Linked DNA regions of Rattus norvegicus. The protein of the gene in region 1 binds, or shares a complex with, the protein of each later gene. Links are inferred from orthologs where the notes say so. Each region holds a gene or a part of one and is shown on either strand. Other genes may lie near its edges.

What was found.
Region 2: Sarnp (region 1) and Ddx39b share a complex: the UniProt entries of both Homo sapiens proteins name them as parts of the transcription/export (TREX) complex. The link is inferred for Rattus norvegicus from reciprocal best matches to the Homo sapiens genes SARNP and DDX39B.
Region 3: Sarnp (region 1) and Alyref share a complex: the UniProt entries of both Homo sapiens proteins name them as parts of the transcription/export (TREX) complex. The link is inferred for Rattus norvegicus from reciprocal best matches to the Homo sapiens genes SARNP and ALYREF.
Region 4: Sarnp (region 1) and Chtop share a complex: the UniProt entries of both Homo sapiens proteins name them as parts of the transcription/export (TREX) complex. The link is inferred for Rattus norvegicus from reciprocal best matches to the Homo sapiens genes SARNP and CHTOP.
Region 5: Sarnp (region 1) and Thoc5 share a complex: the UniProt entries of both Homo sapiens proteins name them as parts of the transcription/export (TREX) complex. The link is inferred for Rattus norvegicus from reciprocal best matches to the Homo sapiens genes SARNP and THOC5.
Region 6: Sarnp (region 1) and Thoc3 share a complex: the UniProt entries of both Homo sapiens proteins name them as parts of the transcription/export (TREX) complex. The link is inferred for Rattus norvegicus from reciprocal best matches to the Homo sapiens genes SARNP and THOC3.
Region 7: Sarnp (region 1) and Thoc7 share a complex: the UniProt entries of both Homo sapiens proteins name them as parts of the transcription/export (TREX) complex. The link is inferred for Rattus norvegicus from reciprocal best matches to the Homo sapiens genes SARNP and THOC7.

What each region holds. Positions count from the first base shown.
Region 1 is NC_086025.1:1,834,124-1,838,396, reverse strand, and holds the start of Sarnp (SAP domain-containing ribonucleoprotein), read right to left. Parts: upstream 2,801-4,273; 5' UTR 2,643-2,800; coding exon 2,607-2,642; intron 1-2,606. Other genes in the region: Ormdl2 (ORM1-like protein 2), read left to right, coding at 4,157-4,273. UniProt on the Homo sapiens protein: Binds both single-stranded and double-stranded DNA with higher affinity for the single-stranded form. Specifically binds to scaffold/matrix attachment region DNA. Also binds single-stranded RNA. Enhances RNA unwinding activity of DDX39A.
Region 2 is NC_086038.1:3,586,852-3,590,790, forward strand, and holds the start of Ddx39b (spliceosome RNA helicase Ddx39b), read right to left. Parts: upstream 2,801-3,939; 5' UTR 2,734-2,800; exon of another isoform or gene 1,774-2,733; intron 1,417-1,773; 5' UTR 1,290-1,416; coding exon 1,079-1,289; intron 419-1,078; coding exon 291-418; intron 79-290; coding exon 1-78. UniProt on the Homo sapiens protein: Involved in nuclear export of spliced and unspliced mRNA. Component of the TREX complex which is thought to couple mRNA transcription, processing and nuclear export, and specifically associates with spliced mRNA and not with unspliced pre-mRNA.
Region 3 is NC_086028.1:106,370,596-106,374,887, forward strand, and holds the start of Alyref (THO complex subunit 4), read right to left. Parts: upstream 2,801-4,292; 5' UTR 2,774-2,800; coding exon 2,537-2,773; intron 2,179-2,536; coding exon 2,047-2,178; intron 685-2,046; coding exon 537-684; intron 344-536; exon of another isoform or gene 231-343; intron 1-230. Other genes in the region: Anapc11 (anaphase-promoting complex subunit 11), read left to right, coding at 3,634-3,742. UniProt on the Homo sapiens protein: Functions as an mRNA export adapter; component of the transcription/export (TREX) complex which is thought to couple mRNA transcription, processing and nuclear export, and specifically associates with spliced mRNA and not with unspliced pre-mRNA.
Region 4 is NC_086020.1:178,287,549-178,291,696, forward strand, and holds the start of Chtop (chromatin target of PRMT1 protein), read right to left. Parts: upstream 2,801-4,148; 5' UTR 2,515-2,800; exon of another isoform or gene 2,432-2,514; intron 1,007-2,431; 5' UTR 990-1,006; coding exon 925-989; intron 1-924. Other genes in the region: S100a1 (protein S100-A1), read right to left, coding at 4,117-4,148. UniProt on the Homo sapiens protein: Plays an important role in the ligand-dependent activation of estrogen receptor target genes. May play a role in the silencing of fetal globin genes.
Region 5 is NC_086032.1:84,009,897-84,013,396, reverse strand, and holds part of Thoc5 (THO complex subunit 5 homolog), read right to left. Parts: intron 1,298-3,500; coding exon 1,182-1,297; intron 64-1,181; coding exon 1-63. UniProt on the Homo sapiens protein: Component of the THO subcomplex of the TREX complex which is thought to couple mRNA transcription, processing and nuclear export, and which specifically associates with spliced mRNA and not with unspliced pre-mRNA.
Region 6 is NC_086035.1:10,151,281-10,154,626, forward strand, and holds part of Thoc3 (THO complex subunit 3), read left to right. Parts: intron 1-1,726; coding exon 1,727-1,888; intron 1,889-1,979; coding exon 1,980-2,080; intron 2,081-3,346. UniProt on the Homo sapiens protein: Component of the THO subcomplex of the TREX complex which is thought to couple mRNA transcription, processing and nuclear export, and which specifically associates with spliced mRNA and not with unspliced pre-mRNA.
Region 7 is NC_086033.1:13,705,826-13,708,192, reverse strand, and holds the end of Thoc7 (THO complex subunit 7 homolog), read right to left. Parts: coding exon 2,361-2,367; intron 2,272-2,360; coding exon 2,202-2,271; intron 1,181-2,201; coding exon 1,113-1,180; 3' UTR 501-1,112; downstream 1-500. Other genes in the region: C15h3orf49 (putative uncharacterized protein C3orf49 homolog), read left to right, coding at 15-215. UniProt on the Homo sapiens protein: Component of the THO subcomplex of the TREX complex which is thought to couple mRNA transcription, processing and nuclear export, and which specifically associates with spliced mRNA and not with unspliced pre-mRNA.

The DNA.
Region 1 (4,273 bases):
AAACAAATACAGTATCCATAAAGGAAAGTCATGGGACAACTAGTGACTTACTCCAGGGTTTCAAAAGGGGAACAAACAAGAGAATACCAAATAGCCCACTAAATTTTAATCTCTTTCACTTAAATATTAATTTTCTGTGTATGTTTTATAATATGTATAACAGTACAGAACTATATAACTTACACAGATAAAAATGGAGGTAGTTGCTCAATTTTCCTTATTTGTTCAAGTAATCATTAGAAAACTTATGATAATTCCATTATAGCTACATCAAGTTAACAGTAACTAGAATAACATAAAAATCCAATAATGAAATTTGAGAGTCCAACAGTTAAGAAACACATTTGCTTTCAAACAATAATGTCACCTTAACAGACTAAATTACAGGAGCTTTTTCTACACACCTTCATTTACAGATCTTAAAGAAAAACAAAAATGCAGCAATTTTTAAGGTTTTTTTTTTTCAAGATTAAAAAAGAGAGAGAGAGAGAGAGAGAGAGAGAGAGAGAGTGTGTGTGTGTGTGTGTGTCACAGAAGCAGGTGCCTAAAGACACCTGAGGGAGCTGGAGCGATGGCTCAGTGGTTAAGAGCACTGACTGCTCTTCCAGAGGTCCTGAGTTCAATTCCCAGCAACCACATGGTGGCTCACAGTCATCTGTAATGAGTGAGATCCGATGCCCTCTTCTGGTGTGTCTAAAGACAGCTACAGTGTACTCACATACATAAAATAGATAAATCCTAAAAGATTTAAAAAAAAAAAAAAAGATTAAAGACACCTGAAAAGAAAATCAGATCCCCTGAAGCTGGTGTGCTCAAGTGGTTGTGAGTCGCTTGACTTTGGTGCTGGAAACCAAACTCAGGTCGTCTGAAAGAAAGCGTGCTCTTAACCACTAAGCCATTTCCCCAGACCCAATTATTAACTTTAAGGGAAAAAAAAGAGAGAGAGAGAGAGTTCATGGATGGAGAGATGGCTCAACAGTTAAGACCACAGACTGTTTTTTCAGAGGACCCAGGTTCAATTTCCAGCACATACATGGAGACTAAAAACTATCCATAATTCTGCAGGTACACATACATACATACATGCATGCATACATACAAAATACCCATACACATAAAATAAATAAATCTTTTTTTTAAAAAATCATCACAGTCCAATAATTTAAAGCAACTATTAAAAAATAAAACAAACAAACAAAACACTGGGCATGGCAGTGCATGCCTCGAATCCCGACACTTGGGAAGCAGAGAGGTAGGATCTCTGAGTTCCAGGCCAGTTAGAGCTACAGAGTGAGATCCTGTCTCAATAAAGAAAGAAAGAAAAGTTCTCAGCTTTTATTAAGTAAGTTTGATTTGTACATGATTCCCAGAATAAGATGACCAAAACAACCAAAGTTACTTGGGAAACAAAACAATAATGAATATAGTTTCTTAATTCTTCTTAAAAAGGAATTATTGTCCTTACAGAATAATAATCGAAGGGCAAGTCTACATACAAGAAAAGAACCTCGGGTTACCAAAATGTACAGCTCAATAGGTCCTGTGGTTTAGAATGTCACCAAAAAATGACACCAAGGTGTCCTGGAGAGATGGCTCAATGGTGAAGGGCATTTACTGCTCTTTGGGACCCAAATTCTATTCCCAGGAACCACATGAGGAACTGCCTGTAACTCCAGATGCAGGGGATCCAACACCCTCTTCTAACCTCCAAGAGCATGCACCACACACTCACAGACACACGTAAATAACAAAATTAGATCCAAAAAGGGGATAGGGGGTGTGTGACACCAAGAGAGCTGGGATTCTTCCCAAAAATAAACAGGGCAAGCAAAATCCTAAGGTTTTCAAATATACTTCATATACCTCCAACGTTACAGCTATCTACCCTATACGTTCTCTCTCTAGTGGTAGGATAGTCAGGAGAGGTCAGGATGCTGAGAACCTCCTGGGAAAACTCGAAAAACTTTTAGGGAAAATGTGTTCGCCATTTTACAACCTCTTAGAGATGCCTCTGCCCCAAGTTTCCACCGAGGAACCTATCTTAAGGCTCCTCCTCTCCTTGGTTTCAAAATTCGAGTCCAAGATCTTAACCCCACCTTTTTAAAAGCACTTTCTGGGTTATGTTTGGGACACATTCAGGTAAACATGCAAAAATGCCACTATATGTTAACTGAGAAATCTCAGCTTTCGGACAAGAGAAGTGACTACACCAATCCGAGAAAAAAAAAAAAACAAAAACAAAAACATAATTGTGGGTCAGCATGGGACACGGGAGAAAGACCACTGACGTAATGCTGATCAAATGAGAACGGAATATAAAAGGCAGAAGGTGCTTCACAGCCGGGTGTGGAAGGGTGACAGATAATAAAACAATGAGAAGAACGGGCAACAACAGGTAAACACCAGGTAACGATAGCAATAAAATACTGAGGAGAAACGGAATTTAAGGTAGGCCTAAGAAAGGAGGCACAAAACTACAGCGAGAGCCAGGAAAGAAGTGTAAGCAAGTGCCTGACAGGAAAACACGTGGAATTAGGCGACGCAGGGCCCCGTGTAGAATTTAGGTTCCAGAAAACCCCACCTCAGCCTTCCCCGCGTAACGGTACCTTCAGCTTGTGGAGCTCCACCGTCTCGGTCGCCATCTTGCTGCGCCTTACTCCACCAGACCCCCACAGCTGCCCCCTCTTCAGGAGCTTAGGCTCATCCAACCAATCGCTGTCATTTTTGCTCCCACCTCACACCAACGGCTCTTCCCATTAGTCAGTGGCGGCGTCGCTCTCACGCCTCTTGGCCACTTTCCACAGCTCTCTGAAAAGGTGGACCCCGGGAAGGGCGGGGCTTGCATGGCCTAACGATAGAAAAGGCGACCAATTGTACGTCCCCATCGCGTAACCAGCCAATGATTGGGGACAGAGCGGATTCTGTTCCACCAATAGGGAGAGCGCAGACAGGGCGAAAGTCGGGCACTTCCTGGAGACCACAGGTGTAAGAGCTGTGCCCCAAGCCGGACGGGCTCCTGAAGCTGGCAGGTATGGGCTGCGTAAGACTTGAAAAGGTTACGGAGAGAAATCGGTGGGAGTATCGGGAAGGGCGGGGAATCGACAACCTTAAATTCGAGAGGTGCCGTGAGGAAAGCCTTAAAGTGACGTGTGAAACTGGGACTCTGGGAGGAGCATGGGCAGACTCTGTACTTGATTTGGGGGATTTGGGGACAAGCAAGAGCGGGTTTTTAAAAGCAAACAAACAAAACAAACAAAAGACCCGGGCATCAGAGCTAGCGGAAGTTTAAAAGCTAAAAAATTGGGTAAGTTCTTGCAGCGCCCCATATTGAGCGAAAGGATGGCGTTGTTTGGCTGCTGACAATGCAGAGCGGGTGAGAGACAGGATGGACAAGCCTCAGGAAAAAAGATGGGGACTAGAGGTAGCTTTACTCTCGGTGCCTTCTTTATTGGTCCCTTGATTAACTGAATAGCTTTCTTGTGGGACTCTGGGTGTGACCTTAACTTCCTCAAGAAAGTAAATTAAAATACTCCCGATTCCCCTGGTCCTTCAAGTAAATGTCACAGTCTAAGCTTACTGCTTCATGTTTAGTTGAAATGTAAAGATCTAACTAAAACTTAAAAGTATTTCTATAATAGTGAGGGCCTTTCCTTTAAAAAAAAAAAAACAACAGCAGAAAAGACACTTAGTTGTCAGTGAGTATACACACTAACAACCGCAGGTATGGGAGTCAGGGGACAGACAGCTTGCAGTAGTTGGTTCTCTTTCTACGGTGTGGGTCCTGGGGATCCAACTCAGGTCTTTAGGGTGGTAGCAAATACCTTCTCCAGCTTAGCCATTTTGAAGACCCTCGTGCCTTTTCATTTGTTTTGGAGAAATGATCTCACTCTAGCCCAGGATCGGCTCAAACAGTCCTCACGCCTCAACCTCCCAAGAGCAGGGATTACAATCATGAGCCACCATGCCCAGCTGCTTCATGTCTTCTCAAGTTTTAACAGAGTCTTCAGTTTTTCCTTTTTTTGCATGATAGGGAAATCCTTTCATTCCCAAGACTTCAGGGGATTTTGGCTTTTCAGGAGACAACTGGGGAACAAGCTCAATCAGGGGTAATGAGGAAACTGAGTTGGACTCCTGCCTGATCCCTCACTGTGGTAGGATGAATGTGGGGGTGGCCCACAGCGAAGTAAACCCCAACACTCGAGTGATGAACAGTCGGGGCATCTGGCTGGCCTACGTCATCTTGGTAGGACTGCTGCATGTGGTGCTCCTCAGC
Region 2 (3,939 bases), on another chromosome or scaffold:
GTACTTTGAGAAGCGCTCATATTCCTTGCTGATCTGGAAAGCCAGCTCCCTGGTGTGACACATCACCAGCACTGACACCTTTGAGGGAGCAAATGGAGACAGACACAGTAAAGTCAGTCCCGCATCTGGCAACTTGTCGGCGACAGCAGTTTCTTTAAACCATTATGCCACTCTGCTACAGAACATTCCCCCTGAACTGCCGGAGGAGACCAGCTCTGAGAGCACACAGCCAGAAACAGCCTCCTGGTGGTTCAACCTCAACACCCTCTCCAACACTGCCCCCAACATACCTGCCCAGTAACTGGCTCCAGCTGCTGCAGTGTGGCCAGGACAAACACTGCTGTTTTTCCCATGCCTGACTTGGCCTGGCACAGGACATCCATCCCCAGAATGGCCTGGGGGATGCATTCATGCTGGACTAGAGGGGAAAGGAGAGAGATTTTTATTTTACACCATGCCAAGTCCCCTCCTTCCCAGCCAATGTGTCACATTTTACCTGACCCCATCCTTTCTCTGATCTCCTCAAGACACCCAAATCAAACCCTCCTACCTGTGCCCCGGCTCCCCAGTGCTACTAAGACCCCTCTTGAACCTACCAATGGTTCACCTTCAATGTTCTTGGCTATCTTTATTTTTCTTATAGCGTAACCATCAATGAATCTGAGTGACTGCCACAGATTATTTCTCCTACATAGGTTGCTGGGCTTTGGGATCATGTTATCCTGCCACCTTGAACAAAATGAAGGACTTGGTACCTAACCCAGAAGCCATAGAAGCTAACATCTTTAAACAGATCGTTACGGTTTCCAGGGACCACTGTCAGCCTGGGCCAAAAGAGGGGAACTAAAGGTCCAACCAGGCCCTGAGAGTCCAAATAGCCAAAAAGGTGTAAACCAAAGAAAAACAAAAAACAAAAAACCAGGCAAAAACAAAAGCCTCTTCGGCAGCTAACGTTTTGAGTGCATTCTCAGAGCTTGGCCTAACTAAGTTCAGATCTTATGAACCAAGACACGAACCACATCTGTCTTGCATCCCTGAAATGCTAAATAATGTCTCTATACCCAACAATAAAATGTACCCTCTGATGGATGCTCAAAGCCACAGTCAACAATGGCCCGGAGCAACTCTGGCTTAAGTAGGAAATCTCGAAAGCCGGAGCTGTGGATGGAGACATAGGAGCCCTTGACGTCTTTCTTGGCGGGAGCTTCGGTCCCATCTGCCCCAGCGGCCGTCTCCACCTCATCGTCTTCATAGTCCAAGAGCTCATTGTCCACATCGTTCTCTGCCATAATCCGGCCGGCGGGGGGAGAAGGGAGGTCTCTGAGTTAGGTGTCCCAGAGCAGGTGAGAGGAAGCAAGGGGAAAGAGAGGGGTTGGAGAACAGCAAGGGAAAAGACACCAGTTTCCGACAGAAGAGCTGGGAGAAGGGACGACAAAAAAAAAAAAAAAAAAGAAAAAGGAAAAACTAATCAGTCATGATCTGACTCCTCACTTCTCATCCATCCCTACACCCTTCCTATTTTCTCTAAACTGAAGCCTTTGTCCCGAAAGAAAAGTTAACGGAGACAGACAGACACACACACACAGAGACACACACACGAGACATAAAAACGGAACACCAGACGGGAGAGACAGAGAGTGGCCTCGACCGCCAACCAGATTTTGGATCACACTTCGACAAGGCGGGAGCGAGGATGAGCGTGACTAACGACTCACACGAGGGTGGAGAGACAAAGGACAAGAGAAGACGAGGGGCTGCACTTCCCCCTGTCACCTCGCGGTGTTGAGCCCCAACGTCAGCCATCAGTCAAGGGTGATAGATAAGGGTCAGCACCGCGCGCAGAGCGCTCACTTCCCAATTGCAAACATCATGTGGCTGCCGCTATTCACTTGCTCAGGAACACCCGAGGGCCCATCCCGGCGGCGCACACCCGTGATTCCCAGTGCCGGGAAGCAGAAGCAGGAAGGAAGGGGGTGGGGAGAGCCTATGGTAATTAAACGGTGGCTGCAAGGGTACGAATGGCTCCATTAAAAAAAGAAAATTCTTTTTTGAAAAGGCTGGGTGTCTGGTTCAATGAAGGTGCTCGCTTAGCAACGCGAGAGGCCGCAAGGATCGGCCCAGCGCCGCCACAATTAATTTTAATAGTCACATTAAGGAATTAAGGTCGCAGCTGAGGACGATGCAGCCTTTAGAGTGGTCTTAAAAGCGAACGCCTCGCAGTGCCCTCGGAAGTTTCCCGGAAAGCTTCCTGGAAACCTTCCCGACTACTGCGCCGACACCATTGGTCAAGCACGGAGATAGCCATTTACAGAGAGCTCCAAATAAGGGAGCGTAAGCAGGGGGTCAGAGGGTTGAATGGGCCCGGAGGCAAGATCCTTCCCATCCCTGGCGGACTAAGAAAAGGCCCGGAGGGGAGATGCGAGGGGCCCCGCCCTCCTCCTGGCGCCGCCTCCGGCCGCCGCGGCCTCGGGTGGGCAAAGGACCCACTGGAACATCCAGGAAACGAGGAACACAATGGCGGCCGAGGCCACCATTTTGGATCGTCCCCCGCCTGTCTCCCAGCTCCCCCACCAAGATTTGCTCTCAGAAAGGGATGAAAACAATGGAACTGAGCGTTCGCCTACGCGCCGGCGGCCACACCGCCGGCCGGGCACCGGGTATCAGGGGCCCGCGCGGCGGAATGAGCCGCGGGGCGGGCAGATGGCGGCGGATAGTACACAAGGCCGAGCTTACCTAAGCACTGCGAGCGTGTATGGCGGCAGCAACAGGGACGGAGGCGGGAAGCTGCCTTCACTTCCGGTTCCAGTCTCGCCCCGGCCTCCCGCCTTCCCGGCCGCCAGGGCGCATGCGCGGGGTGCCGGAAGGAGGCCTCGGGCGGCGCGCGCTCCACGGCTGGCTTTGCAGAATGCCCACTTGAAGTTAAGCTTCTGACGCCCCCTTCCGTCGCCGGCAGCAAGAGCGCGACAGGAAGCTCACATCTCTCCCCATCTGATTTCCCCATTTTGTTCTTCTACGCTTCTGCACACCCTCCGACGGTCGGCTTTACTTTTGTTCTGTTTTGTTTGCCACGCCAGGCTTCTCCCTGGGCGCCTCTCTGTGGGCATGCAGGACTCCGCGAGCAGAGTGAGAAGCGTTCTCACGGGGTCCTTAGCCTCGTAGTCAAGGTGACCTGAGAGCGGCTAAGTCTGGCCTCTACTGGGGGGGGGGGGGTCCGGTACGTGACCACGCCCATTACAGTTGTGCAGAGAATAGGCCGGATTTACCCAAAATTATATTGGGAGATGGAGGCTTACATTCTGTCCAGGTGCTAAATAAATGGTGGAGTTTGAGGGTTATGCACCTTTCCATAATTATTACTAACTAGAGCAGCAGAATGGTCTCAGTTCCATTATTCAGCCCGGAATTTGTCCCCCCTAAGTAGGTGGTATTCCCTTTGAGGTGCTACACACGTCAGAAGTGATGACCTGTTGCCTTTCTGCAGAAACATAAGCAGGTGCTTTCCCTATTGAGCATACTTGAAAGTAATACTAAGTAACACTAAGTAAGTATCATTGTTGCCAACCAGCCCGCTGTGTCCTGCTCAACGGATAAGCTCCCTGGGCTGGGGCTTGGTAGCTTTTGATTCCTCAGCCATTTGACAGCTGTAAGCAGCAGGCTGGCAGGTTTTGTATAAATCAGAAAGTGGGGATTCCTCCGTCCCTGGTAACTTAGTAAGAGCTGTAGCTCCAGACAGAGAGGCACCTTTGGCTTTGAAGAGTTTCCAGGAACTCTTCTAGTGACCTAGTTGGAAAGCTCTCAGCCGCTTTCTTCCAGTTACTGGACCTAATGTGGCAGCACCAAGGACGGAGGCATAGTAAGGTTTGTCCCAAGTGAGCCAGGCTTTACAGCCAGCAAAGGGCGTTTGCACCAATCTGGGCAAACAGGGAACTCATGCAAATG
Region 3 (4,292 bases), on another chromosome or scaffold:
GCACCACACCCTGGTCTCCATGCAAGCTCTGGAAAGGGCCTCTGTGTGTCTCCAATGCCCCCAACAAGATAAATGGCCTGGAGAGCCTGGTGGGAAATGAAGTGCAATAGTAACCCCACCAACACCTCCTCACTCCTTCTCAGCTCAGGCTAGGAGGGCTGTTTGGTCAGGTGTTCAGGGTGCTCATGGGCAGACAGGTGTGGGTGACCTGACGGAAGAAGAACAGGTACCTTTGTCTTTACGACTACAGCCCCGCACTCAGGTTGTACTATGGCGGTTCTGAGAAGGCTTCACAGAAGTGAATCTTCCGGAAGGAGATCAAGGAGGGGAGGGATGTAGCTTGCTGGATGGGGGTTCACAAGAGGTTGGTCCAGATGTGTGGGGCAGCATGAGAGGTGGCAGAATGGAAGAGAGAGACAAAGGGGCAAATGCAAAGTGTCCTCAGCCACAGGGGCAGCCCATATTCCTACAGGGAGAGGTGCCAGCCCCAAACTCCACAAGCCCCACAGGCATCCAGGGCCCAGCCCCAGACTCACCATCCAAAGGGACACCATTGTACTGTTTCATAGCCTTCAGGGCATCTGCTTTCCGTTCAAAGTGTACATCTGCTGTCCCTAAACTTCGTCCAGAGCGATCATAGTGCACAGCAGCTTTTTTCAACGTTCCAAACTCGGCAAACAGTTCCTGGGAAGTGGAAAGAGTAAAAATTAGCAGAGCAATGAAGCCATTTTCCTTCTAGTAGCTTGGCAACACTTATATGAGCACTCGTGCTTGAAGTACTTTACTGACAGCCACTCAGGAAGGGGGCAAGGCAGTGCAATTAAGAGCTGAAAAAAAGGATGTTCTATATCAAGAGAAATGGCAACTTTCACAAACACTGGGGTTCCTGTCCATTTTGGGACTGTGTAACTACACCATGACCGTGAGGGAAGACACAGAGTCCTGTCACAAGACAAAAGATTAAGAAACCTCTTTCACCAAGGGTACCTACAACTTGCTTAATGGCTGTTTCACCAAACAGCAGAGACCAAAACTAAAACTTTCCATAGAGCAGACAACTCAAAGGGCCCACTGATTTGGGAGCTGTGATCCAGCCCCTACCCCAAAGGCAGATTCTAGCTCACCTTTCCCTCTCCTCCTACTCAAGCCTGCTGCAAAGTCTGAAGTCAAATGCACCATGGAACCTGCCCTGACTTTAGGCAGCCTGGGAGGTGGAGAGGGAACCCACAGTGTGAGGCACTTCAGCTGTAGACACATAGTGGGAAGTGGAGTTCACCAAAAGTGGTTTCCAGTGGATGCCAGAAACCACCTTAAAAAAAGTGTTGAGACACTGAGTACTCACTAGCCTTGTTTTTTCCTCCCATGGCAAGGCCAAATGGCTTAGCTCTGGGAAATGGTACCTGGAAAGGCCCAGTACACCTGACCCAGCTCCAGCTATGTGGAAAACCATCTCGTAAAAAGTTGCCTTGTAACCAGAAAACTCTAAATGCCTTTGAAGTCCAGTTTAAAAAAAAAAAAATCCAAGGGGTTGGGGGAGAAAAAAATATTTCAAAGGTATGGAGGACCACAAGCCCTGATGAGACCCAGGAAAGATCACCAGTTAAGATACAGGGATTCAGGCTGGAAAGCCCACAGCCATCATTCACAGAATGCTGTCGGGTATCTGGGGAAAAACCTTCCTTATCTAATCAGTTCACTATAATGGGCACAAGATCTGAGAAGCAAGCAGCTTCTTCTGTCATATTGGAACCTCAGTTATGGCCAGTTTGTGTGGGTTAGAAACTGGAAGTTCTGGCAGAGGGCTGATGCTCATGGTTTGTACAGCAGAAAAGACTCACTTTTAGGGGTACACAGTTTATCTGCAGCCTGGCTTATCGGTCGTGTTCAATCAAACACAGGAGACACAACTGTTTCTGAGGCCAAGCCTCTCAGGGTGACAGCGGCTGGCCCTTGGGCAGCCTGGGGGAGGGCAGATTCCAATCCTTAAGGGATTCTGGACCACACGTCTGTGTGGGATGAGTATAGCGGACAGCTCCAGACTCCTACCTGAATATCAGCGTCTGACACTCCGAAATCCAGGTTTGACACAAGCAGCTTCCCACCCGTCTCCACGCCGGCTCCACCCCCGAAGCCGCTGTCGAATAGGTCGTGCTGCCACTTGTCGGGAAGTTGTTTCGGCTGAAGAAAAACCGTAAGGTCAGAGACTCCTGATCCTTCACCCAGGAGCCTTAAACACCCCAGCGACCCTCTCACGTCTGCCCGCGGCCAAGGTCGAGGAGCCGGGAGAGTACCCCAGACTCACCGCTCCACTGCGGCCGCCAAACTTTTCTCACAGCAGCCCCCGCCGCCATGAGGCTGGACCAGGACGGGACAAAGCCTCCCGGAAGATCCCGGCCTCAGGCCCGGCCTCGCCGCGCGGCCTCGCCCCCGCCCACCCCTTCGCTGCAGTTCCCGCGAGCCTCGCAGGGCGCTCTCCCGGTTCGGTCGTGCCGAGCGCCCTCCCGCCCCGGTCCGTGCCGCACGTCCCCGTACTCACTCTGCTGTATGGTGCCGGTCGGTTCCTGCCGCCGCCGCCTGCGGCGCCGCGGGCGATGGCGGGCCGGTTCCTCATAGGCCCGCCGCCTCGATTCACCCGCGCGGCGGCCTGCACTGCGCCGCCGCGGCCGCCCTGGGAGCCGGCCCTGCCGCGACCCCGGCCCCCGCCGCGGCCTCCTCGCTGGCTCCGGTTCAGCTTAATGATGTCGTCCAAAGACATGTCCATTTTGTCGGCCATGGCGGGCGCGGATTCGGGCCTCGTATCGAGCCCGCGCGTCAGCACGCTGTAGCGTCACTTCCTGCGCCTCCCTCTGCGTTCCGGCGTCCCGGGTCTGAGGCGCCTACTGATTGGTCTCCGCGCGCGCGGATCCGAAGAGCGCTTACGTACAGTTCTCTGAGGCGGCTGGCGCTCCTTCTGAGGAGCCAGACGCGGCACGGTCGTTTTTATACCTTCCCGCGCGGAGGCAACGGAAGGGCGGGGCGCCTCGTGATTAGGTGGTGAAGGTGCGAGGGCGAGGAGGGGGCGGGGCCTGCTTGCGCCTCCCCCGGAGGCCGGAAGACCCTCAGCGTCGCCTGGGTGCCACGCAGTGAGCGCTCCCCTTCTCCGGAGTCCCCTCAGGTGCGATTCCAATGGGTCCGGGCGGGTCCGTGGGTCCGATTTGGGTTTTGTTTGTTCGAAGGCTGTCTCCTAAGGAGCTGGCGTCTGCAATCCAGCTGTAACTTCGAGGATTAGTGACTGTCACTCTTCCAATTCCTTTTAAAAGCGAGGCCCTGGTTAGGGAAAACCAATATGTTTTTCGTGGGTGCAGAGGTTTTGTTTGTTTTTGTTTCCTGTTTGGCTGAACTCAGTGAGATCTGCTTTTGCCCCCGGATTAAAGACCTGGGTCAGATTTTTATAGACATTCTTGAACGTGGCAAAACAAACTCGGAAGCGAGCTATTGCTTCCAGAGGCTCTCCTTGCCTTCTTTACAGACAGATACGTGCTTTTTTTTTTTTTTTTTTAATTTTGGAGTACACGACTTTAATGCTCAAGTGCTGTAGTGTTACATACTAATAGGTACGTAATCCTCTTCCCTCAGGTCACAGACTCTGCTGTCATGAAGGTGAAAATTAAGTGTTGGAATGGTGTGGCCACTTGGCTCTGGGTAGCCAATGATGAGAACTGCGGCATCTGCAGGATGGCGTTCAATGGCTGCTGTCCAGACTGTAAGTGGCTCTGTGCTCGAAGAACTTCGGGGCTGCCCTACTAGCCTTGAAAAACCCTCTCTGAGTTTTTTTTTTTTTTTTAAGATTTATTTATTTATTATATATAAGTACACTGTAGCTGTCTTCAGATACACTAGAAGAGGGCATCGGATCTCTTTTACAGATGGTTGTGAGCCACCATGTGGTTGCTGGGAATTGAACTCATGACCTCTGGAAGAGCAGTCGGGTGCTCTTTTAACAGTATTTTTTTTTTTTTTTTAGAATTATTTATTTTATGTATATGAGTACACTGTAGCTGTCTTCAGACACACCAGAAGAGGGCATCGGATCCCATTACAGATGGTTGTGAGCCACCATGTGGTTGCTGGGATTTGAACTCAGGACCTCTGGAAGAGCAGTCAGTGCTCTTAACCTCTGAGCCATCTCTCCAGCCCCAGTCGGGTGCTCTTAACCGCTGAGCCATCTCTCCAGCCCCCTCTCTGAGTTTTGAGTTCAGCCTGGTCAACAGTTCAAGTTTCAGGATAGCTAGGGCTACCCAGAAAAACCCTGT
Region 4 (4,148 bases), on another chromosome or scaffold:
GGATCAGAGCACCTTCAAAGTCCACTGAAATAACAGAGACACGTGAATTATGGAATGTCATTATATTCTAACATGTTACTCAGTAACACACAAATACAGGTAATTAATATAACACATCTTAAAAGATGAGTAGAGAAACACATGCTTTAGAAGCAAACACAGGCATTAAATGCCTTGGCTGTTCTAGCAACAACATAATAAAATGGTGAAAGACACCAAATAAAATTCTCAGAAACAAAAACTGTCTTTAACTACTTTAACTTTTCTTAAATCTCAAATAACCATTCTTTCTGACTCAGGACTTCTCTGAGAAGGTTAAATTAGTTAAGTCACTTACGAGCCTAAAAGGGCATTCTAACATTCCTGTAATGAATAAGTTTAATGGAAGTAAACACACAGCTGTTGAAAGATTTCAAAACACAACAAACTAAAAAGCAGAATGGGAAGAAAGTGAAATGGAGCAAAGCAAGTGCCTCTTACAAGGCCCAAGAATGACATTCAGGGGCCTTTGGACATAGTTTTGGCTTGCTACCTGCCTCTTACAGGCCAGACACAACACTGCTGGCCTTGGACTAGATAGCAAGCCGAATGCAGCCAGGATATACCATACCATCGTGCTGCACCACCCCTGTATCAATGTTAGGAAAAAAAGAAAAATCGAAGGGAAGGTGTGAGGAGTCTTTTAAAAAAAAATATATCCCACCAGGTCAATATGTCAGATAGCTTAATATAAAAATCTACTGATAAGGGGTTTTGAAACAACTGCCCAATTTGTTTGTACCACATTAGATGCAATCAATTAAGAACAGAAGTCTGTAGCCTTCTGTCATTTAGCTTACAACTGGCTTTTTTGTATTGGACCCCAGGGCCAATTTAAGTAATGTTTTCTTAGGAAGGAGCTGAAGTTGCTGTTGGCTGCCTCACCGCTCATTTAGAGACATCTTGGTGGTGCTTTTTAGCACAACTTTCGGCGCTGACTGTGCAGCCATCTTCAAATCCCGAGAATCTACAAAGGACAATATGCATAATGAGTCAATCAAAATAATGAAGTTTGCATTTTCACAAGAATCGAGGCATAAACCCATGAGAGGCCTATACTACTAACTGCTGAAGATGGTGTCATGAGAACTTAAGTTTGCCATGTGGTGGTGGTGCCCACTTTTAGCCCCAGCACTCCTGAGGCAGTGGTAGGTGGCTCTCTGTGAATTCGAGGCTAGCCAGGTCTACAGAGCAAGTTTAAGGACACAAGCCAAGCTACAGAGAAACCCCATGGGGTGGGGGCTTAAGTTTAGATGACAGTTATTTCCATTTATCAAATTTCAGAGCCCCAGGATGGAGAACATCTGCCAAAGTCAACAAAATGGCAGAATCAGATGTAGCCAAAGCCTAGGAGTTTGGCTTTCAATCTGGAATAGTTCTTAGCCTGGGCTGAATATGATTTAGCTGAGGAATGTTTAAAAAAAAAAAAAAACAAACTAAATTTTTGATGTCTGGATCCAGACAATTAAACTACAATCTGGCCATGACGATGGGGTACAGCAACTGGGGCTAGGGGTGCTACCTACCCAGGTACATCTTACATGTCTACAGAAAGTTGAGGGCCACAAATCTAGAGAAATGGAGGAGCTGGGAATACAGCTCAGCAATAGAGTGCTTGTCTAGCACTGATGAAGCCTTAAGTTCAATTCCCAGCAGCAACAGAGGAGTGGTGTAACAGGCTGAGGACATCAAGGGTTACACTGTCACATTATGAGGCTCCGACTCTCACACACTCAAAAGAAATGCCAAGTTTCAAAACTGATTCTCAACTCCAAATGCAAGTGGAGCTCTAGAAAGACATGGCAGGGGAATGACAGAAAAGGTTTTCTCAATGGGTATTCAATCTGAGAGCTCTGTCAAGAGCAACTCCACAAAATTTAACTGTAGGGGCACATACTGGGAAGGGCTGAGGCAAGAGGGTCACAAGCTAAAGGCGAGCCTAAGTGACTTCTGAGACCCTGTTTCAAACTAAAATTATTATTATTTTTAAAGCTGGGGATATTAACTCTGGGCGCTAGACTAGCCAGAGCATAATTTTGGATTCAATTTCGGTGCCGAAAAAAAACGAACACCCAGAGCCGCCGCTAATTCCTGTATTCCTCATTTAACCTCCACCTCAAAGCCTCTCAAAAGACTTTGGTCAGGCGCTTATTTCCGTTGTTATTCCCATCAAACGCTATTCTGGGGCGAGGCTTGGGCTCTGATGGAGGGCGCTTATCTACATAAGCAAGAGACTAGATTTGGGGCCAAAACCAAACCACCACCACCAACCACCACCACCACACAAGCCAACCAAAACCAGCACCAACAATCCTGCTGGCCCGCTTGCTGGCCGCGGTTCCGGCTTAGCCTCCGCCTCCCGGCTCCGCCCCCTCCCCCGGCCTTTGCTCACCTCAGCCCCATCCGCACCTGCCGTCCGCGCCATGTCCCGCGCCCCCTCGGCGCTCCACCTCTGCTTTCACCACAGAAACTCACCGAAGGAGATGGACGCCAGCGCTCCTCCCGGGGTTGCCACCACGGCTGCGGCGGGCGGGCCGGAGGCCGGCCGAACCCGAGCTGACGGCGGACCGCTCGGGTTAACTAGCTGGGCGGTTGGGTTAGATGCTTAAACGGTAGGTTGCGAGGCTCCCTTGTTGTGGGTTGAGTATTTAGCCGACTGATCCTCCCGCTCGTCAAGCCAGCCTTTTCCTGCCTTTCGTCTGTGCCACCACAGCCGGCGCCGCCAACTCCCGCTTGGTGTCCAAAACAAAATGGCCGCCAGGCCCACCAGTGCAGCGTGACCGGCTAAAATGGCGCCGACGGGCTTGCGTCATTGCGCGCGCAACTAGGGGCGTGGAAAAATGGGCCCTTTGGCTTGCGCAGGAGTCGCAGGCGTATCCCTACGGACTTTGGCAAAGATCCCTTAAGTTACGTGTAGTGCTCCGCCCTTGGGGGCGTGGTCAGTGGTCACAATCGCTAGGTATCTTGACTACCTGCAGGACAAGTTTATGCCCTACTTTGTTTGGGGTTTTGGTTTGCAGAGAGCAGCTTAGATTGGAAGCAGTGTTTATATTCTTTTATTTCCCAAGTTAAAGACCAAAAGTAAAATCTTATTAGGACCTTAGAACCTCGCTGATTTGCTCTGGCCCTCTTCTCATCCCTATTTGTATTGTTTTTTTCTTTTTGAGGCAGGATTTCTCTGTGTAGACCAAACTAGCTTCAAACTCACAAAGATTCATCTTCCCTCCTCACTTTCCCCCTCCCCCCTCACTGTACTGGGATTGAAGATCCACATTGGATTCTGCATCCTTTTATAGGGACTGCTGCTAGAAGATGTGGCTAGTTTTAGGGTGGGTCTTTTCACCTCACATAATACAGTAAAGCAAATCTGTATCCCCACTAATGAACCCCTAATTATTACATAATGTCTAGCATTGATGGTACATCAATAAACAATGAAGCTTGGGAAAAAATTCTTCAGGTTTTTTTTGTTTGCTTGTTTGAGACAGGGTCTCTCTAATGTAGTTCTGGCTGTCCTGGAATTCTCTATACAGACCTGACTGGCCTTGAACTCACAGAAATCCTCTTGCCTTTGCCTCCCAGGTGTTGAGATTAAGTAACCATGGTATCTAATGGTAGAAACCATTTCTAGCTTTCTCCAGGTTTCTTGATGGCTTGTTTCTGTTTTTAGAGACAAGATTTGGGTATGTAGTATGGGCTGGCTTGGAACTCAAAATCTTTCTGCCTCATCCTTCCAAGAGCTGGCATTATTACCAATTATTGATACAAGTCCTTAAAGAGCCAGTAACACTTGGATTTCAGCTAAAATTTTTGGGTCCCTACAATTCTGGGTTTTGAGTGTTCCTTAAGTAAGATCTAGTGTAAACTTTCCAAGATAAGGTGTTGAGAGTGAGTCAGACCCAGAGGACACAGACATTGACAGTTCGTGAGAGAGAAGCTTTATTAAAACTAGTGGCAGATCTGGACTGCTACTGTTGCGCCTTTGGTGCATGTTGAGCCTGGGCAAGGATGGGTACATAGGGAGATACAGGTGGGATGAGGAGCAAAGAGGGAGGGCGCTGCCTACTGAGACTGTGCTCAACTGTTCTCCCAGAAGAAGTTGTTACAAG
Region 5 (3,500 bases), on another chromosome or scaffold:
CTGGTGACTGGGCCGAGGGCCGCAGAGCTCCCGATAGCACACATTGACTTCACTCTCCATAGCCTGTGGGGGTGGGAAGCCAGCACCTCAGCAACTGATCCTCGGTATGGCTGAGCACATGGTCACACCTTCACCTCATGGCTGACCTGATGGCACATGAGCTACGGCTGCTGCCTGCACAGGAGCTGTACCCAGAGCTGTGCCACAGCCTCACCCAGAGATCCTGTTTCCTCAAGACAATGGGGTCCTGATTACCACCCACTGTCCCACCCCAGATACCAGCAAGGAACACGGGTATATAGAGGAAGACGTGCTCTGGGCCACAGGCTACGAAGACCCACCACGAGGCATGGCCCTGGGCAGCAGCTACAGCGCCCTCACTGAATCTGAGTCTGCTATGGTGCTTCTGCGTCTGCTTACCATCAGAGGCCAAGGTGACTCGACTTCAAGACAAGTTTTGGTTTTATTTTAGAGGTAAGGTCTCACTGTGTAGCCTTGGCTGGCCTGGAACTTACTGTGCAGACCAAGCTGGTCTGTTCTGCCTCCCCAGTGCTGCCACCGCACCTTGCTGAAGGGAGTGTAGGAACCCTGAGTGGATATGTGTTGTTGGCATGAACTAGCCTATCTAGGACTCTCGCCTCAGACCCACAAGAGTACAGCAAAGCCTACCCCTGCCCGACATGAGGCTAGGAGGAATGCCCGAGCCTTTTCTTCTGATCTGTGTGTAGATGTTGATGGTGTATACAGAAAATGTCCACCACAGCTTTCTCTTTCTGAGATTTACAGCCAGGAGACGGTTCCCTATAGTCCGCTCCTGCTGAGGTTGGCTAAACCCACCTTCTTGATCTGTCTCTGTACCACAACCCTGCTTCTCTATTCAACCTTACCTAACAAACATGCTGGGCTTGGGGATGGCCTAAGGTCTCTCCAGCAGTCAGACCACCGGATCCAGCTGTCTGTGTGTCTGTCTGCTCCTCACTGTGTGGCCACCCATCAGGTGCTGGAGTGGTTGGTGCACAGACATTTTGCTAGTTAACAGTGCTAAACGGGAAACACTGTGGGCCTCAGGAAATTAAGCGGCGAGCATGTTCTGTAGATCCTGGTACATCCCTGTCCTGAGACTGACACACTGCCCACCTCTCTAGGGCTCCCTGTTCTCCTGCCACCCATGTGGGCCTTACCCGAATGTTGTCATCGTTGCTGTTGGTTTTCTCCCCTTTCCAGTTTAGACAGAGTCGGAAAACAGGTGGGATGGAGGAGTAGCCAGGGTTCAGTACCACAGCAGCCTGAAGCTTAGCTGAGAAGGGAGAGGCAAAAAAAATCGTGATTACCCAGCCTTCCGTGGTGGTCTCCACATGTCCCAGAGTCAACACAAATGCCTCCTCTAAGTGAAGTGCTGCTGAGTGCTGACACTGACGGTCTTAGAATGGGAGCCGGGCTGCCAGGTCCTCAGGGTAAGGTACAGCGACTCTGGTTCCTCCAAAGACCCTGTTCTACCTGATGGTGTTTGTCAATGGACTAAACCTGCTACCTGGAGAAGTGTCATAATTAAAAAAAAAAAATTGTGTGCATGTGTGTGTATGCCTTGTTTGGTGGTTTGCCTCCATGTATCTTGGCACCGACATGTATGCTGCACCTTCAGGGGCCAGAACAGGGCATTGGATCCCTGGGACTGAAGTTACAGTTGTGAGCTGCCATGTGGGTGCTGGACATTGACCTCAGGTCCTCTGGATGAGCAGCTCCTAACCACTGAGCCATCTCTCCAGCTCCTCTCGTCTCTCTGTCTCTCTCTCTCTGTCTCTCCCCAACTCCTTTTCTTCCTTCCTTCTTATCTTTCTTTAAAAAAAAAAAAAAAAAAAAAGAATCTGTTGTTGCTGTTAAGGGAGTCCCATGTAGCCCAAGGTAGCCTCAGATTCAATACATAATGAAGGGCAACCTTGAACTCCTTATCCTCCTGCTCTAACTCCCACAGTGGACTAGTGGCAAACGGTCCCAGCTTCTCACGTCACATCGGTCAAAGGGAGGCTCTGACAGAAATGTCTCCCAGTGAGTAGCTGCAAAAGTACAAGACTGAGTTCAACTGGAACTGCTGGGCAGCGGATGTGCATGCACAATCAGAGAATAAGCTCTCACATATGAAGTTTCCCTCTGCTGACAGACAGCCTTTGACCCCTTCTTCCCAGGGGTGCCGGGATTAGACACACTCCACTCCATTCCACACGCTGACGTGGCTTCTGGGAACCAAGTTCAGGTCATCAGGATTATGCAGTAAGAGCTCCGACCCACCGGGCCCTCTCCCTAGCTCCCAGATCTTTGGACTAGTGCTTCTGATTTGGCTCCTGTGCATTACCCAGAGATTTATACAAGAAGTTGGCTCCCTGTGCTGCTGCCAGGTTGAACCTGGAGAAGTCAGCTCTAGTGAGAGGTAGTTGGGTTCTGGATGAGAGGGAATTGCCTTCTGAAAGGATTAAGTCTTCTTGCGAGACTCTGCTTAGTGTCCAGAGCACTGTTATAGAACAGCCTTGGCTCCTAACTCCCTCGGCTTCCTTTTCACCTGTGCCACCGTCTCCACGTCGCTGTACTGTCACCTGCCATGAGGCCCCTGGGACTTCTAGCCTTCAAATAGTAAAGCTAAACTAGGCTACACATGGTGGCTCGTGTGTGCAATCCCAGTGCTCTGGAGGCTAAGAAAAAAAGATCAGAGTTCAAGGCCAGCCTGAGCTGATCTCAAAGACAAAATTAAAACAGTGTGGCAGTGCGTGCCTTCCATCCCAGAGGTAGATGGATCTCTGTGAGTTCTAGGCCAGCTAGAGTTACATGAGACTCTGTCTCAACAAACAAACACTCACACACACATGCGCACGTACGTACACACACACACACACACACACACACACACACACACACACACACACACACACACACACACAAAGCCAGTAGGACTGCTCAGTAGGTAAAGGTGTCCTCTCCTCATGACTGGAGTTTGATCCCAGGAACCCACAAGGTTGAAGGAAAGAAGTGACTCCCTCAAGCTGTCCTCTGATAACTGGTGCACGTGTGTGCGTGCACGTGTGTGTCTTACACCTGAATGCACACACATACATTAAATAAATTTAATAAAAATCGTAACAAGCAAACCCACACACTCATGAGCTAAATAAGCCCTTCTTTATTATGCTTCCAGCTTTGGGAAATTAATTTTGTTTAGCTTATCTTTTGTGGTACTGGGGAATAAATCTAAGGTCTCGGGTATGCTAGGCAAGTGTTCTACCCCTAAACTATATCCCCAGTTCACAAATTTTCTTACATCACTCAGCCTACTGACAACTGAAGGATCACACCATCTTCCTCAGCCCAGTGATCACAGCTGAGGTGGGATAGGACAACAGCCTAGCGCCTGAGCATGGTTAGTGGCCTCTGGGTAGGTCCTGGCAGATGTCAGAAGAGGAGGGAACCACAGGGTTCCAGACTCCACAGGGACTGTGTAGAAGGAGGGAAGG
Region 6 (3,346 bases), on another chromosome or scaffold:
TCTTTCTCTCTTTCTCTCTTTCTCTTTTTCTCTCTTTCTTGTTTATGTATGTTCTTTGGTGTTTTGCCTGCATGTATGTCTGTTTGAGGGTGTTGAATCCTCTGGAACTAGAATTATAGACGGTTGGGAGCTGCCATGTGGTTGCTGGGAATTGAACCTGGGTCCTCTGGAAAGAAAACCAGCCAAGTGCTCTTAACCGCTGAGCCATCTCTCCAGCCCCAGGAAGCATTTCTTAATTCTGTATGATAATGTATACTTTATCTCTATTTCTCATTGCACTAGCAATTTCATGGTGGAGAGGACTGTGTTTATGTTTTCCATTGAATTGCTAACGCAATTATTAAGACCTAGGTAGGTCTTAATAGTAGGATCTCAGTAAGTATTTGTTGTATGAGTAAAAGAAAATGTGAAATAAAGATTCAGGGCCCCGAGGCCGTGCTATTGCAGTGCCAGGGAGGAATGCGAGACAGATGGCCGTAGTTTCTTTGGTTGAGAGGATGAAGTTTGCTGTGAGTCCTGTAGCTTTTAACTTTTCAAAGCCTACTTTTTAATGATGGTTCTTAAATGCTTTTAACCCTCCCTTCTAGCCCACTACCCACCAGAGGTAGTGGAAAAGAAAAGATATGGGGGAAGCGGACCTTTTTAGAAGTTATTCTTTGGAGCAAATCCCATCTGAGTTGTCGGGAGGTCAGCAGTTCAGTTCACGGGTCAGCAGTGGCAGCTCGACCCACTAGGAAATACTTCATGAATACATCAGTGGTCCAGTTCGGTACAGTCAGGACAGGAGCATGAATCAGCAATGGTGGCACGGCATAGCAGACACAGCCAGGCCACCTGAATTGGCATGAGTCAGCAGGAGGAACCAGGACAAGTAGGGATGCCAGGAGTTCTCTTTCAACGAAGAGGAGGTTGGCAAAGACATGAGAATTGTACAGCTAGCTCTGCAAGCCCCTCTCTTCCCTATTCCTGCTCCTTTCAAATATCGAGTGTGCTCCATGGGTCTTTTCTCATCCCGTGTTGCCTCAGCACATGAGTCTGTCTTAGCAAAACTCTGTGTGAGTCTCTATCAACTGACATCCAGAGGCCTTGGAAGCGGCAGCATACCACCAGAAGTTTTTTGGTGTGCTTCTCTATGGACCTCAACCAATACAGCGCATCCTTTCTCATGTCTACTTCAGCAAAATGTTCCTTCATGAGTCCGCCTCAGCACAGATGGATTCATCTGTGTCTGCTTCAGGAAAAAACTCCGTCATGTGTTTGCCCCAGCAAAACACCATCTGACACAACTGACTTTCCAAAGAACCCTTAAGTTTCCACTTCAGAACCCCAAGTTAAACGAAACAAGACAAAAATCACATTGGCAGGGATATTGAAGGAGTTATATATTCATAGACCTGGATACTGTACTGGGCTTTACTGTTTGTGTATTGGATAGTATAGCTAGGTATCACAGTCCTGGATTTGCTTCTTCTATGCCTTAGGTGTGACACTCTTACTTTCTTTTCCTCCAGAGTGATGCTCTCAGGAAGCCTAGAGATGGTCTAATTTTCTGTGAGGTCCAGTAGCCTCACTGGTTCATCTAGGTGTTGGTGGTCTCGGTCCTGTGCTCTTGTACTTGGGCAAACCTTTTGTTTCTTCCTGTAGGGATGTTTTTGTTAGTGTTTTCCCCTTGGTGTCTTAGTGCCCTGGCCCTCTTCTGCACACTGATGGCTGTCTTGTCTCTCAGCTACCCAGAACTGAAGCCTGTGCAGTCCATCAATGCCCACCCTTCTAACTGCATCTGTATCAAGTTTGACCCCATGGGGAAATACTTTGCCACAGGAAGTGCGGATGCCTTGGTCAGCCTCTGGGACGTTGACGAGCTAGTGTGCGTGCGGTGCTTTTCCAGGTATGTAGCTGACAGGCTTTTCTTGTGGGGAATCAACCTTTCCTCCCCCTTTGGGGGTAACTAACTGATGTTTCTCTCCATCCTGTCATAGACTAGATTGGCCTGTGAGGACCCTCAGTTTTAGCCACGATGGGAAAATGCTGGCGTCGGCTTCGGAGGACCATTTCATTGACATAGCTGAAGTAGAGACAGGTATCTTAATTTGACTCCTTCGAGATGATGCCTGGCCTCAGGCCTTCTCTGGGCACGTTTTAGCTGTGTGATACCACGTCACTAGTGGTATCAGATGGGTTTGTTTTGTTGAGATATTTGTTGATAGGATTGTCAGCTTTGTGTAATGGTGGGGCGGAAGGGCAGGAACAGAGTGCCAGGTCTGAAGAGAAGCGCTGTAGGAAAACACTGCATTTGCATTATTTCTTCTGTTATCTAAAAATACATTTTAAAAAAAAGGTAGGGATTTTTGTTTGTTTTGTTTTGTTTTTTTTGAGAAGGGTCTTACTTTGTAGCCCTGACTGGCCTGGAACTCCCGATGTAGATGAGACTGTCTTTGAATTTACAGAGCATCTGTTCCTGCTTTCTGAGCGGGGGTTAGAGCAGGACGTCATTTATGGGTGCTCCTCCCAAGGCCCACTGCCTCCTTTCTGACACCTGTCGGGTTTCTGTGTTCCTGGGTTTTGCTGCTTCTTTGAAGTTGTTTGTAAATACATGATTTTATGTATCTGTAAAATTAGGACCCCCAAATGAGAGCACACATGGAATATTTGTCTTTCTGGTGAATTTTGTGTGATTATCACCGAGTTATGATAGCCTTTGTCTTGTTTTCTTTCTCCGTAGCTGTGATAAATGCCCTATGACAGCAGCTTCACGGGGGAGGGGCTTCTTTGGCTCACACTTAGTTACAGCTCACTTCGGGCTGGACAGTTGAGCAGAGAGCCATGAATAAGTGTTTGTGCACAGCTGCCCTTCTCCTTTCAGTCCAGGGACCCCTGAGACCCACGCTCCAAGGGTCTTCCCACCTCAAGGAGCTCAGTCAAGAAAGCACCTCACAGGATGGCCGATCTAGACAGAGGTTCACCGAAATGCCCTTAGCAGACTGTTTTTAAGTCAAACTGACCAACACAGGCTTAGTTGAACCATCTGCAGTATGCAGAATACGTCTTGAGGGCTGGTTATTGATCTTGGGTGAGCATTGCCAGCCATTCAGCAGTGTGGGGCCCTTAGGGAGCGGAGGCTTCTTAACTCCCTCCACTCCCGACCCACGGGGCTCAGGCACAGCTGTCTGAGGATTTTCATCCGGCCGTGGCTGTGTCAGTAATGGAGCTGGTGTGACCACCGTAACTTGACAGCCAGTGTGGGGGCTGGGTCAGGTCACCAGGTTTGCTTGGCGAGTGAACTCCTTTACCAGCCTTGCCTCTTTCTGTCCATTCTTTAGAGGTAGAACTTTTCGTATGTTTCTTT
Region 7 (2,367 bases), on another chromosome or scaffold:
TCTGTCTATTACAGGTGGACGACCTCATAGAAACAGTGACTGACAAATCCATGAAGCTTTTGGAACAAAGACACGCTGAGCTTAAGCAGTGTGAGTCTCTAGGAGCTGAGATCCTTCAGTCTTCCAAGCAGTTCCAAAGGCTTTCCAAGAGAACCACGAGGAAGTATAAGCTGCGAAGCGCATGCTTTCCCTGCACCTGCTGCTGCTGCTGCTGAGTTCCTAGTACACAGCCCAGCCACAAAGAGGACCCTGCCTCAGACACACAGGGTGGACCAGCAGCAGCCGGAGTCATCTGAATCTAACCCCATGCTACAGCAGGTGCAGTCCCTCACACGTAAACACATGCACTCTGCACGCATGCCCCAAAGTAGGTATTTTAAAAAAGATTCCCCAAGAACAAAACACAGAAGAGAAGCATTTACCAACCATGTTCCTTAAATACTAACAGAGAGAAATGCAGAAAAGCAATGCAGATGAACTGATCTCATACAACAATACAATTTTTTTAAAAGACTTACTGATTTAATGTATATATGAGTACACTGTAGCTGTCTTCAGACACACCAGAAGAGGGCATTGGATCCCATCACAGATGGTTGTGAGCCACCATGTGGTTGCTGGGATGAACTCAGGATCTCTGGAAGAGCAGTCAGCGCTCTTAACCGCTGAGCCATCTCTCCAGCCCCTAACAACAGCTATTCTTAACAGTGTGGAAACTCCCCTACAATAAACACACACACCATTAAGTACTGATCATAGCCCCTCTAAAGCCTATTCTTAGACCACGTTTTCTAAGGAGCTACTAATACCTTCTAGAAATCGACTCATTTTCTAATTTGCAAAGGCAAGCTACCTAGAGTTTTGAATGAGCACAAAGATCCTGCTGGAGATATTTTATTAAATATTTTCCGATGCTGAATTCTAGGTTTAAGGATAAAAATGCATTTAAAAATACATATACATGGATACATTTCCTTGTGTGAAGAAATACAAATGAGGCATGAATTAATATTTGAAAGCAAAGTATTTCACTGCCGAAGTTGAAATCGAACCCAGGAAGCCCATGCAGCTATTGCCTGTCCTTGCGGGCGGACGGACAGCGACGTCACCATCTATGGCTTAGGGTCTGCCTCCATGGCGCTTTCTTGAGCTTCTTCCACCTCTGACAGCTTGTCGTCATCTGTAGTTAGGAAGACACAAAACCTTACTTCATGTCACCTACATTTTGTGCCTGGTAATGCATGAAAAGTTTTATTTTGCATTGGCAAATACATTTTCATCAAGGCAGCAAAATAACAAGTTATGGCTGCAAACAGCCCACATCATTGTTTGTTTTTTTTTTTTAATTTTAAAACATGTATTTATTTTATTTATATGTGAGTACACTGTAGGTGTCTTTAGACACTTCAGAAGAGAGCAGCCCATTGCAGATGGTTGTGAGCCACCATGTGGTTGCTAGGAATGGAACTCAGGACCTCTGGAAGTCAGTGCTCTTAGCGGCTGAGCCACCTCTCTAGCCTCCTTTGGTTTTAAAAACAGGTCAGGGCAAGGGCACATCATGCTCGGCCTAATGACTTAAGCTCGATCCTGGGAACCACATGGTGGAAGAAGAGAACTGACTTCTAGTGGCACAACAAGTAGCCTCCACATGCACAACATGGTTATGTGTGCAGCCCCGTACACACATGTGCACACACACAAATGTTATACATTTGGTTATTTTTACATATTACTAAGAATATATAATTTGTGTGATAGATTTCATTAAACACTAAAGAACTAAAATCTAAGTCGTAGCCTTAATTAAAAAAAAACAAAAACGATCAGAAAACACAGGAAGTTCTACTTGGTTACAGTCACAAGAAAGATCAAGTCTTCAATTTCTCGGTGGGCCCCCCATTTGCTGAGCATGTAGGCAGCCTAATATACCAACAACTTACAGTAGTTTGCACGTGTCCTGAATCATTAGTCAGGAAACACTCCCCATCACTCTTGAAGTTTTCTTATTAGTAGACATGCATGCAAAGCACAGATTACCACAGAATCACTGCTCTTCTGTTTGTATACAGAAAGTTGAACAGAGAGTGTTTTCTAATGCCATCCAGATATAGCACTGGATTCTGGAGGCAGACTCTCTCACCAAAGCACTCCCCAGTCATTTAAAGTCTTCTGAAGCTGCAATTTTGAATGGTTTTACTTACTCTCCAATGTCTGTTGAAGTTCATGGATGGTACTAAGAAGAACGTGAAATTGTTTCCGTCTCAATTCCAGCTGTGTTAAGAAGAAAACAACTTATATAAGTTTATCTCTAAACACACACACATACACACACGTAGAGGCTAACATATATATTCAAATACCTTATCT